Linked DNA regions of Drosophila melanogaster. The protein of the gene in region 1 interacts with the protein of each later gene in a pairwise test. Each region holds a gene or a part of one and is shown on either strand. Other genes may lie near its edges.

The links.
Region 2: the proteins of CG31751 (region 1) and Syn2 interact in a two-hybrid assay, tested with the Drosophila melanogaster proteins (one large-scale study listed by BioGRID).

What each region holds. Positions count from the first base shown.
Region 1 is NT_033779.5:18,675,418-18,683,230, reverse strand, and holds the start of CG31751 (uncharacterized protein), read right to left. Parts: upstream 6,011-7,813; 5' UTR 5,759-6,010; intron 4,516-5,758; exon of another isoform or gene 4,393-4,515; 5' UTR 4,378-4,392; coding exon 4,070-4,377; intron 3,601-4,069; exon of another isoform or gene 3,527-3,600; coding exon of another isoform or gene 2,132-3,526; intron 2,077-2,131; coding exon of another isoform or gene 1,273-2,076; exon of another isoform or gene 1,156-1,272; intron 967-1,155; coding exon 842-966; intron 787-841; coding exon 1-786. Other genes in the region: tos (tosca), read left to right, coding at 1,273-2,076, 2,132-3,526; Mst36Fa (Male-specific transcript 36Fa), read left to right, coding at 6,299-6,993, 7,059-7,222, 7,274-7,665, 7,723-7,813.
Region 2 is NT_033778.4:16,552,440-16,557,555, forward strand, and holds Syn2 (Syntrophin-like 2), read left to right. Parts: upstream 1-2,147; 5' UTR 2,148-2,178; coding exon 2,179-2,253; intron 2,254-2,319; coding exon 2,320-2,469; intron 2,470-2,528; coding exon 2,529-2,814; intron 2,815-2,879; coding exon 2,880-3,044; intron 3,045-3,165; coding exon 3,166-3,350; intron 3,351-3,405; coding exon 3,406-3,564; intron 3,565-3,629; coding exon 3,630-3,854; intron 3,855-3,913; coding exon 3,914-4,117; intron 4,118-4,179; coding exon 4,180-4,290; 3' UTR 4,291-4,587; downstream 4,588-5,116.

The DNA.
Region 1 (7,813 bases):
TGCTTGCCCACAGCTCATCAATATCGTCAAAGCTCTCGCGCCACAGCTTCTGAAGGAGCTTCCATCCCTTTTCCTGGGTCACCAGGAGGTACTCATTTGTGGGATGCAGCGTGTGGGTGTAGAGTCCCATTACCAGGCTCTGAACAAATCGGGCAGTAACACAGTACTTGAGAAGGGCCAGCTCGGAATTCTCAATTGGGTTCAGACTGGTATAACCGGACAGAAATATGCCACCATTGGCCAAATCGTTGGCCTGCAGTATCATATAAGTGAGGGCAATTCCAATTTCGAAGATCAGTGGCGATTTGCTCGTATCACCGAAATCAATAACTCCCTTGATGGTATATTCAGTTTGATTGGGCACCTGCTCCACCACTATATTTTGTTCGTTGAAGTCCCCATGGATGATCTGGTGCTCCATGGATGGCAGTTGGCTCAGAACCTTGGCTTCAAAGGCATCGATCACCTCGTCGCAGATAAGCCGCTGCTCCTGATCCTTCACCACGTACAGGAATTGCCTAAGCTCGGGAACACTCTGAAGCATCCACAAGGTCTTGTGGCTTTCATATGCCTGGTGGGTGAAGTTCTTGAGGGCTCGATCCAACCTGGCCAAGTATTCGCCGCTGCGGTAGAGCAGGTGCTTCGTCACCGGCACCTGGTGGAAGATTTCTCCCGGTATAAATTCCAGCAGTCGCACCACATTCGAATTCCCATTCAGCCGTTCCACAGAGTAATACTTTCCTGTTGCATTGGCTACTGGTCGTGGGCATTTCACACTGTGTTTTCCTAGGGAATACGATTGCATTGTCAATTTGCTGATGATTTGGCTAGCAATTCTTACCCAAGTAAAGCAGCATCTGGTTTTGGGCATCCACGAAGTCCTCTTTCTTAGAGTCCAGTGAGTTGAGGATTTTCAGGACGTATCCGTGTGGACAGTGGGTTACAATGAGGGGGTTCTTAACATTACTGCAATACGGAAATGTATTCAATAGGAAATTACTTATCTTAAGGAGTAAATAAAAAATGAGGCATAACAAAGCGCCACATTCATAAAAATACAAAATAATATCTGTTAGAAATATTGAATTATTTTTAAAATCCAAGTGTTGGATAATGATAGACATATGCGTTCCATGTGAATGGCAATTCGAATTTTTTTTATAGCATCGCACTTTGGTCACACTGATGCATTGGCAATTTTGGCGCTAAGATCCGCAATTTTATTAATTGTTTATTTCGTTTTTATATGTGTTATTGTTGTTGGTCCTAACCATGGGCATTACCGGCCTAATTCCCTTCGTGGGCAAGGCCTCCTCGCAGCTGCATCTAAAAGACATTCGCGGCAGCACAGTGGCCGTGGACACATATTGCTGGCTACACAAGGGAGTCTTCGGCTGTGCGGAGAAGTTGGCCCGCGGCGAGGATACGGATGTTTATATACAATACTGCTTGAAGTATGTGAACATGCTGCTGTCCTACGACATCAAGCCCATTCTGGTCTTCGATGGGCAGCACTTGCCGGCCAAGGCTTTGACCGAAAAGCGGAGAAGGGACTCCAGGAAGCAGAGCAAAGAGCGGGCGGCGGAACTCCTTCGATTGGGTCGCATCGAGGAGGCCCGATCCCATATGCGACGCTGCGTGGATGTCACCCACGACATGGCGTTGCGGTTGATCCGGGAATGCCGGAGCCGGAATGTTGACTGCATTGTGGCGCCCTACGAGGCCGATGCCCAAATGGCCTGGCTGAATAGAGCAGATGTGGCCCAGTACATCATCACCGAGGACTCGGACTTAACGCTTTTTGGAGCCAAGAACATCATATTCAAGCTGGACCTCAACGGCAGCGGCCTGCTGGTGGAGGCGGAAAAACTTCACCTGGCCATGGGCTGCACGGAGGAGAAGTACCACTTTGACAAGTTCCGGCGCATGTGCATCCTATCCGGCTGTGATTACCTGGACTCACTGCCTGGCATCGGACTGGCCAAGGCGTGCAAATTTATACTAAAAACGGAACAGGAAGACATGCGAATAGCATTAAAAAAGATTCCAAGTTACCTCAATATGCGCAATCTTGAGGTAAGTTAACTTGCGGTTAGGTCTGAATTGTAAGACTAATAATCCTTTAATCCAGGTAGATGACGACTATATTGAAAACTTCATGAAAGCGGAGGCCACCTTCAGGCACATGTTTATCTACAACCCGCTAGAGCGTCGCATGCAGCGGTTGTGTGCCCTCGAAGATTATGAAACTGATGAGCGCTACTGCAGCAATGCTGGCACCTTGCTGGAGGATAGCGAGCAGGCTTTGCACTTGGCCCTAGGCAACTTGAACCCCTTCTCTATGAAGCGACTGGACTCTTGGACACCGGAAAAGGCATGGCCAACGCCGAAGAACGTGAAACGATCCAAGCACAAAAGTATTTGGCAAACGAATTTTCAAAGCGAAAACACTCACACGCCGAAGAAAGAAAATCCGTGTGCCTTGTTCTTCAAAAAAGTGGATTTTGTGGGCAAAACTCTAAACGAGGAAATCGAAGCTAATCAGCGACTGGAACAGGCTAAACAAACGGAGGCCGAGTTGTTTAACATGTACAGTTTCAAAGCCAAAAGGAGGAGAAGTCCGAGCAGGGAAGATTCTGTAGATCAAGAACGTACACCTCCTCCGTCGCCGGTGCACAAAAGTCGGCACAATCCATTTGCCAAGGAAAGGACTGGAGAAGAAGCTAATCAGCGATCCCCAGTAGTTTGTGAGAATGCCTCTTTGCTGCGTTTGCTTAGTCCGAAAAAGGCAAGTCCGTTGGATGGAGAAGCTGGTGTAAAAAAGGTTGATTCGCTTAAAAGAAGCATATTCGCCAAGGAACAAGTTCAGATCCGAAGTCGCTTCTTCGCCACGCAGGATGAACAGACAAGGCTTCAAAGGGAGCACTTAAGAGATACGGAAAATGACGATATGGATGAGCAGAAGCTGAGCTCTCACTCAGGCCATAAGAAACTAAGACTAGTATGTAAAGACATTCCAGGGAAGAACCCAATAAGACAACGTTGTAGTTCACAAATCAGTGACGGTGAAACAGATACAGATACCACAGCCTCTTCTCTTTTGGAATCACAAGATAAAGGTGTTCCTTCGCCTTTAGAATCCCAAGAAGATCTCAACAACTCTCAACCCCAAATACCAACTGAAGGCAATACCAATTCAACAACTATTCGCATTAAGTCACTGGATTTACTTCTGGAAAACTCTCCGGAACCCACTCAGGAATCCGACAGGAACAATAATGATGCCATCATTCTGCTATCGGACGACAGCTGTAGCTCGGATCAGAGAGCATCATCTACCTCATCCTCCAGCCAGCAACGCCAGAACTTTTTGCCAACCAGCAAACGAAGAGTGGGGCTGAGTAAACCCTCCACTGCCAAGAAGGGCACTCCTAAATCTAGGACGAATGGAAAACTGGGTGCCGTGAGCCAGAATCAAACCAAGCTCAGCATGTTTGGCTTCCAGACGAAACCTGTCCTCAAATAGATGGCTCTTCTAGATTGTAAGCTTTTTGTTCTCTAGATTTATCTAATTTATTAAAGTGAAGAGCTGAACTGACTACATCAGTGCTGAATGCCATGAATCCATCAAGATAGCAATTGCGATGCTGGCAAGGTGACTGTCGACTGCGTCACACTCAACTGCCGCGACTAACAACTTTAATTAAACTGGGTATAAATAGATGCTACATACCGCCGCATTTCTCCGGCTCATTATTATTTGTTTTCGTGTTGCACAGTCGTACTACGAACAGCAGCTAAAATTGCAGTCATGTCAAAGCACAGAAAATATGTTGTGTTGATGCTTTAAAGGAGATATTATTTCAAGCAACGAATTCTTGTGTTTACTATATAGAAGACTAATCCTGATCTAAATGATATATTATGATGTTTGAAATTGCCTGTGCTAATAATCTGACTGCAGCTGTATGAGATGCTTACGCTGAACTCCCATACACGAGATAAACCTCCGGATGTGGTGCGGGATTGGGAAAGGGTGTCAGCGAGATACTGTCATCGCTTTGCTTACCTATCCTCCTTGACAAAGAAGTTGCGATCGTCGTAGGCGACGATTTCCTTAACCTCGCTTATCGTGATCCCGTAGAGGCGACGCAGCAGGCTCTCCACGTCCTCGGGCTCCACTTTTGGGCGCACGTCCGATCCTGGCTTGAGGAGATCGCCATCTGCAGCTGTTGATTCATCGGCACTGGTGCCATTGCCATTCGAGGACTTTGCCGTGTTTTCCTTGTTCAACTTCTCGGCGGCATCGTAGGCATGATTCAGGGTATACGACTTTTTGGACATGTTCGTCAGCTCCACATTGTTCCACTGCTCCATTTTATTTTTGGGGCTCTATCGGAGACGCAAAAGACCAAAGGCCAAGAAACCGTGAGTAAAAAAATATCAGTTAGAAGACGAATAAGAGCAGAGGTGGAAAATGTTTTCGGTTGCGCGTTCTCCAGCGAAATGAATTGTGTTTCAGTTTGCGTCTCAATTGAAACGAGTTCGTCGACGTCTTCTCCATATCTTTTTCGCCAGTTTGTGTGCGTTCAAGTACAGTCAAGCCTCGTCTATATAATCCACAATCTTAAGTTAATAACAATTTACAATAAGGTCGAGTTTTAAAGAGCAACGTTTTTAAAGTAAAGCTTTAATTTTTATATAACATCTTACTAGCTTTTCTTTTTAAAGCCTTTACAATGATTTTTAGTTATTTTTTCTGAGATTCTTATGGCGAACCTTTGACTGTAGCCAATTTAGAGCTAATTAATGATTACAAAAACAGAAATTGTGTTTAAAGGCTAGCCAGTTTAAGCATTAAACATGTTTTTTTCATTTCAAACATAACGTTTTGGTTAATTATGTTGGAAATTTAAGGTTTGAGTGAAAAATTTCTCTAGAGTTGGTATTTTTGTTATGCCAGGGTCGCCTTGATCTGCTTAGAATTACACCTCGCCGGTATCTGATTAGCGGGTTTCGACTGTATCTGCGTAAGATTCAGTCCCGTGAGTTTTTTTCCATGTGGGTGAGTGTGTGAGCTTCTGTCGCCACTTGCAGTGTTAACTTGGCTATTTGCTTAATTGCTTAAAGTCGGACGAGCCTTATTTTCGACATTTTTCGGTGCTTATCAGGGGGACAGTGGTTTCCCAACCGTGGCAAAGCAAACTGTCAGTCGTGATCGGCTTTGGTTAACGTTCCAGTGGAAACCACATCAATTATATGGCGCATAAACCGAACAGATCGCAGGGATTAGAGGCACTAATATGGACAGAAAGAGGGAAGAGCAAATACCTTTTTCAGGTCATAAATTCAAACGTCAGTGGAAAGGTTTTCAAACCCGTACCGATCGATGATAAGCAGGGCAAATGGAATATATGCATGTAAATATTTGGGCGGAGAGAGGCGATAATAATTGAATTTAAATGTACATAAGCGAGCAGCTATCGAAGTTTGTCAATCAAGTGCCAATTACTGACCTTGACTCAATTACAGTTTATTGCTCATACGCAGTGATGTACGTAACTACGGTTTCTGGGCTCACACACACACGGCCACAAGCTCCCACTCTGGCGCACACACACACACGCGCAGCTGTGGGTAATTAAAAGCCAAATATAGTGTGCATGTGAGAGACGCAAATATGCACAGCTGACTGCTAATCAAGCACATAAACAAGCCGCCGAATACAGAAACAATAGACTAAGACAAGCTTATTTACCTGGTCACGGAAAATGCACCTGAGTCTCCGAATCGGAAAAGTGGCCAACTAAACTTAGCAACTGAGCGCCGCGGATGGAAACTGGCCAAGCAGAGGAGAGTCGATTAGATTCGGTCCCACCTGTGAGATTGCTTATGTAAACTGACAAGCGGAGCAACTAACTTTGATTAAAACAATAAACAACACTCGAAAAACAATGAGTAAAAAGAATAAACGAACGAACACATTCAAAAATTCAAAGCAATGTGCAGCCGCGTTGACATGCGAATGGCTAGAGCTGCTGCTTCTATCCACTGCCTAATCAGCTGTTTATTTGTTCGCTTTGCAACGACGCTTGCCAACACTAAATGGCGGGGGATTTGAAATTTATCACCATAAACGATAATAACTCCGTGGTGTGGAATTCAATGCGTTGTATTTAGATTTCACCATCATATGATGGTGTACCAGCCCCTTTTAACATTATTCCTAGAAATGATACTCACAAAAAATACTTCAGAATAGAAAACATAAAACAAAAATAAACAAAAAACTCTAAAAATGCCCCATAAAAAGACGAAGCATTTGAAAGCCGTGGTACCTGGCATGGTTAGTCTCGAAGGAGAGCAATTTGACTCTTGGGAAATTCCCTTTCCCTTGCCGGAGCAAGAAGATCCATCAATGTGCCGAGATGAGTTTCTCAAGGATCTGATAAGGGAGCACGAGTCCCGAGTGGCCTCATTAGTGGTTAGATCTACAGTGCGGGACGTTTCGATAGTCAAGCGGCCAGTGGAGCTCCAAGACACAGATGTAAAGGAAGCCGAGGCTATGGTGGTGCTGCAGATGGCCCAAAAGCGCCAAAGAACGTCCGTAAGGAGAACAATGGAGGAAGTCATAGCCAGCATAAGATTGAGGTCCACCATAATAGCAGATCTCATTCGCCAAGTCCAAAAGGCGGCCATCGAATTCCTATCGGTTCGTCTGCTCAGACAGTTGCGACTCTTCTCGATGCCCTGGCCAGGCGATCTGGAGGAGACCCCAAACAATCTGTTCAGCTGGTCGTTGGATGACTTCTTATTGCGACTGGACGTAAAGCAGATCTACCTTGATGTCCTCAATCGGGAGCGAAGTGTCAAGGATCTTGATTGCGTTAAGTTCTGCAAGGATCTCAGCGAGATCGAACACCTTATACACGAAATTAGAAGAGATTTTCGAGACGACGTAGACCTCTGCGAAAATAGCCTACATTTGTTAAAGTAAGGGTGTTTCGATTGCTTTGTTTAGCTTTAACTGCGACATTGACATATGTGTTCTATTGCAGAAATGCCCAATACCACATGAATGCCCCTTGGGTAAAGAGCCTTAATGATAATATCGAAAATCTGGCATCCAGTGCGTCAGTCGCTTTGCTCAATGAGCAAAGTGGCTCCTTGACGTCGTTACGTCGTAACTCATCGGCAATGATAGTGTTCGAAAGGAAATCAGGTGAGTGGGGTTACTATGAGCCATATTTGGAAAACTCATCTTCTTCCGCAGCCCTGAACCCGATTGAAACGCGATATCAAATCAACTGGTTTAAAAGCTGTACGGATCAGCGTCTGACCCGGATGAACGAAAGAAATGTGGAGATAAAAAGAGAGCTACAAGACCTGGAGGTACAAGCAGTGCAGGATGAAAAGGTGCAGTATTCCTCCGGACTCATGTATGAGTTGGAGGTGGGAAAGCTTAGGGAAAGCATTCGAAATTGGCAGGACCGACTTGATACCGATTTGGAACACGCCGACGTCATGTGCACCGTATCAAGGCTTGCACTGCAAAAGCTTAAGGACGACCTAAAGTTTTACATGGAACAGAAGGATATGTATCTTCAGCGAATCAAAGAAGTGCAAGCACTCATAGATCAGGAAAGGATGATTCGCGAAGAAAGGGTAAGTCTTGGCAGAGAAATCGAATTATGGAGTCATCATTAGATGAAATGTCACTAGGAATTAGCCGCCTTAAAACGAATGTCGAGGGGGTCTTTAAGAAAATCTGTACCAAAGTCTACAAAAAACTTTCAAAAGAAGTCTAAAGGGA
Region 2 (5,116 bases), on another chromosome or scaffold:
GGCCAAATCGCGAGTTCAAGCCCCTCTATTCAGGATATCGAATATGTGAAAATGTGACCCAATTGAAAACGCGAAAACGGGTCGCAACTACACATAAACTGCATATATTTATACACACGCATATACATATATATATGTATATGTGTGCGGGCAAGCATAAGTACATCTGTCAATACAAGGAGGTAATCCCCCAAAGTCGATCCGATATACTGGGTGCGGTAGAATTGTTTAGCAAACACACACATAAATTAATAATCAACGTTTTTGGGCCTCGGGCAGCAAAAGTATCGGTTATGCGAGGGTGTGCGTGTGTTTGTTTTACTTCACAGCCAGAGCTGCAAAAAAAAAAAGAAAAGTTCAATCGCTGAAACTTCAGGCAAAACAGCCCGAAACGTTTCGCCTGCTGCTGCTTCTGCTGCTCTTTTCGTGGCTGTGGCACAGCTGATTGTCCAAGGCCTCACGCCGAACATGTTGGCTTGTTTGGTTTGAAGCTAAGGACCTGCACTCCTGGACACCTCCCCACCGAAAAAAAAACCAGAGTACTCTGGGCCTAGCTTCACGGTTTTACGGCTCTGAAGCACGCACCCAAAAGGGCAGCGCAGCGTGCACACGTAATAATAAAGCCATAATCAAAGGTAACCCGGGACAACGGAGCGTATGCGTGTTCCGCCAAGTCGGTGGCCTGACCAGCAGCTAATTGCTACGACACGCGGAATGCCAAGGATTCAGGAATTCATGGTCCAAATATTCGACACTTTTTGCACTCTGCGAAACTCTTGCAGGCAATATAGAACATTCTGGGTTGATAGATCTATTTTTGTATAGATTTTGGAATGTATAATTTACCTTAATTATAATTATTTTATGTTGCTTCAGTAAAATAATTCCGTTTTTATATATTTATTTTTATTATATTTTCAAAAACTCATTGTTGATGACACGTAAGCTTAGGCCTAAACATTTTATTATGATTTTATTCCTTTCATAATTTCATTAAAAATATATAATAATTTTTTTAATTAACAATAATAACAATTGAATTCACTTTGACCATGAATCAGATCGCAGAAAACGTTTAAAGCGAAAGTGTTTCCCCTCGAATTCAGAATTTCTCAATCTCAGATGGCAATTTAGCTGGCACCATATGCACATATTTGGCGCTCAAATCGAACCCTCCCCCCCCCCCCTTCAAGAACTCTCAACCCCCCCTAGGCAAAACACCTATTTATGGAGCACAAGTGGTTATCCAAAATACATATTCCACCCTCCCATTCCTGAGGAGCAGTTGCGGCCACACTTCGGCACTCAGCACCAGGGAAAACCACAAACAACGTCTGCAGATGGGGCACACTTCAATGTGTTTTCACTCATATCTAGTTTTCCGGTAGCATATTTATTTTCCACTTTAATGGAAAACATATGCCGTGGCATCAGTTCGTAGAAAACGCACTTGGCCAAGGTATGCCCATGTATCGTTTCCATCTAGATATGCCTTCTATTACATTTTGCGGCAGCCTGATTACGCTTAATTGTTTCTAATTGCATGTGTAATTTAATTAAGGCAATTGCACAGTTCACCTTGAACTATCGGCTCATCGGTGGGCCAGTGTGCAAACGTAATTCGATATGCGATGATTGCAATTGCGTTGCTTTCGCCTTACTGCTGTCTGCTCAGTGGAAAAATAAAATGGCAATCGATAAAGGCCACGGAGCCGGCTTCCCGATTTGATTGCAGTTGTTTCGCAGTCCATTGCCATGGCCACGATTATGTTTAAAAATAAAAAAAAAAAAACGAAAAGTTCTCAGAAATCGCTTGATTACACTGGGCCAACTTGATTGGCGGCCATCCGATTTGGTAACAAGGGTAGACATCCCGTTATTGCCACAAATCAGGCAACATTTCAACCTTTTCAGACCCTTTGCTCTAAATTATTCATTCCATTCAATCAATCAACGCATTTAATTTAACGCCTCTAGAAATATTGATTGAGCTTTAAGTATAGTCAAGATATCTTGAAGATACATTTTGTTATTATTATAGCAAACTAATCTCTAGAAATCTCTAGAGTTCCTGGATTTTTATTTTATTTTGGTTCATAATTCATTTTTAAATCCTATCACTTTAAGCACGTTTCCCATTTAAGATCATAAATCACACTCAAGATCCCTCTTCTCTGAATGATTTCAGGAATTATGAAGCTCTCTGACACCATGGCCACGCCTATAGAAGAAAAACTCGACCAAAACCTGAAGGTAACGCAAAGATTCTTCATATTTATAAATGTATATCTATTAAATATTAAATTATTAATATTTTAGGTGCGAACTGGAATGGTGCACGTGAGCGATGGCAAGAGCAGACCAGAACCGCTTCGACTTAATCTTACCATGGAGTTGCTTTCGCTGCAGAAGCTGGAAGTGGTAACACCAAGTAGTTGTCACCCCAATGGACCACCCATGGAATCAAAGGTATATATATATTTTCCCCTATAACATTTAACTTATTTATGAAATAATTCATCTTTCAGGAACGTATGGTTCAAATTACGCGCCAAAAACAAGGCGGCCTAGGACTGAGCATAAAAGGTGGCGCCGAGCATAAACTACCCATTTTGATATCGCGTATCTATAAGGATCAGGCTGCGGACATAACGGGCCAACTATTTGTTGGCGATGCCATCATCAAGGTCAACGGAGAATACATCACGGCATGTCCTCACGATGATGCCGTCAATATATTGAGAAACGCTGGCGATATTGTTGTGCTCACTGTTAAGCATTATCGCGCAGCCACGCCTTTCCTTCAGAAACAACGTGAGTAGCAGTGGGCTAGCATAGCACGATAAATAAGGATTGAATAACCCTCCTCAACATCCCAGTGACCAAGGACACACCCGACTCGGACAACGATGTCACATGTGCCGAACTGAAGGCTGACGAGGGCTACAAGTCATCCGTCAATAGTGGAACCATCAGTCGCAGTTGTAGTCGCCCCATGTCAATTTGCTCGGAGCCCGAGAAGCGCTGGACCGACGTGGTTGCCGGTGAGCCTTATTTATAAATAGGTTAACAAATTGTTCATTGATTATGTCCTAAGATAACAGAAATGTATCTCAAATCTTACGTACAGAAATGCTAATCAATTCATATATTTACACCTTGCAGTACCTCTAATGATGGCATATGTGACGAGGTACATCTATGGCACCGACAAGCTGCGACAAAATGCCTTCGAAGTTCGCGGTCTGAATGGAATTTCCACAGGTGTCATACACTGTGACGAACTGGCCATACTTAGTCAGTGGCTGAAATTGATAACAGACAATGTTGTGGGCCTGACGCATTTACAGGTAGGAGAGTTAAAGGCATATATATTCATAATTTAATCAATTGTGTATCCAATAGATGAAGCTATATAATAGAAACTTTGCTGTGGGCGAGCGCATTGAGTACATGGGCTGGGTGAATGAAGGTGTCATTAACAACAATATATCGTGGCAGAGCTACAAGCCCAGGTTTCTACTGCTCAAAGGCACTGAAGTGATGCTCTTTGAAACGCCACCAGTGAGTAGCAATCAATTGCGATAAGTTTCGATTATCTTAACTAATTTTTTCTATTAAATTATTAGCTAAATGTGGCTGGCATTAGTAAGGCTTTGGTGGTCTACAAGGTCTACCAGACCATGTTCCGCATTGTCAAGGAATCGGAGACCGTGGATAGTCGTCAGCATTGTTTCCTGCTGCAAAGTTCGGGTCATGAACCGCGCTATTTGAGCGTGGAAACCCGTCAGGAGCTTTTGAGAATCGAAAACAGCTGGAATGCGGCCATTGTGACAAGTGTCATCAAACTGGGCGTAGGTTTACACTTATATCGCATACCTTCACTCTCTAATTATATGTTAATTTTCCTCAGCGTAAGACCTTTGCCGTGTCGCATCATGGAAAAAGTGGTGGACTCACGCTGGACTGGCAAGCTGGTTTTTCATTAACCGAAGGAGCCGAATCCGCCACAGTTTGGCAGTATAAATTCTCCCAGCTGAGGGGCTCCAGTGATGATGGTAAATCGAAGCTGAAGTTGCATTTCCAGGATCACGATAGCCGTGCAATAGAAACCAAGGTAAGCTAAAGATACAAGTATACCATAATTTCATAATATATAAAAAGTTTAATATCCTGCAGGAGCTGGAATGCCAAGTCCTGCAAAGTCTGCTGTTCTGCATGCACGCGTTTCTTACGGCCAAGGTGGCATCGGTGGATCCAGCATTTTTGAGCTCAATCCAGCAGACTTAAATCAAAAATATTATGAGGGACAAGAATTCGCATGGACTCACACTCAAAATGATATATAATGAATATTCGTAAAGTGCATAGCAAATAATTCGAATATGAATGTTGGACTATAGGTATCGCATACATGATTGTCCGCTTGGAGTTATTATAAACGAGTACGCGCATATACATATGTATGTTGATATCTGAATGATTGTAATTGTAATTGGATACTGATATGGGTATATTTATAGCGCTGATAAAACTGAAAGTGAAATCTCTTGGTGCATTATAGTAAATTTTAAGCATACATAAGGCAATTACTTTAGGCATTTTTCCTATTACGTAGACTTGGTACTTACAAATTGACAACAAATTTATATTGTTTATAATCGATCGTTTCCGAATGTAGCCTTTAAAGTTAAATTAACCCTTAACCCTACCTACCTAACTTACGGATTGTTAAAACCACATAGGTCTGCCGATTCTGAATGTCAGAGAAATCTAATCGCTTTTTGCTATTAGCCGAAAAGATTATAATGAGTGGCCTTAAAGGCTTTAACCCGTGCTGTATCCTCTAGACATATATTTCTTCGGCGGTTTAACGAAAATTGATTGAAATATAAAAACCGTGTTTTGTGTGCGCTCTAATGAAAATTTAATTTTCGAAAAACGAATGCTTTAAGATCGGATTAATTGTTATTTTCTACTGAAGTAATAGCTGATGTCATAATAGATATATATAAAAATACCTTATAAAATAATATATATATATATAACATCCACCGAACAAATCTCAATGCACAGACGTAACATGAACTAGATTTTATAACTGTTATACATTTAC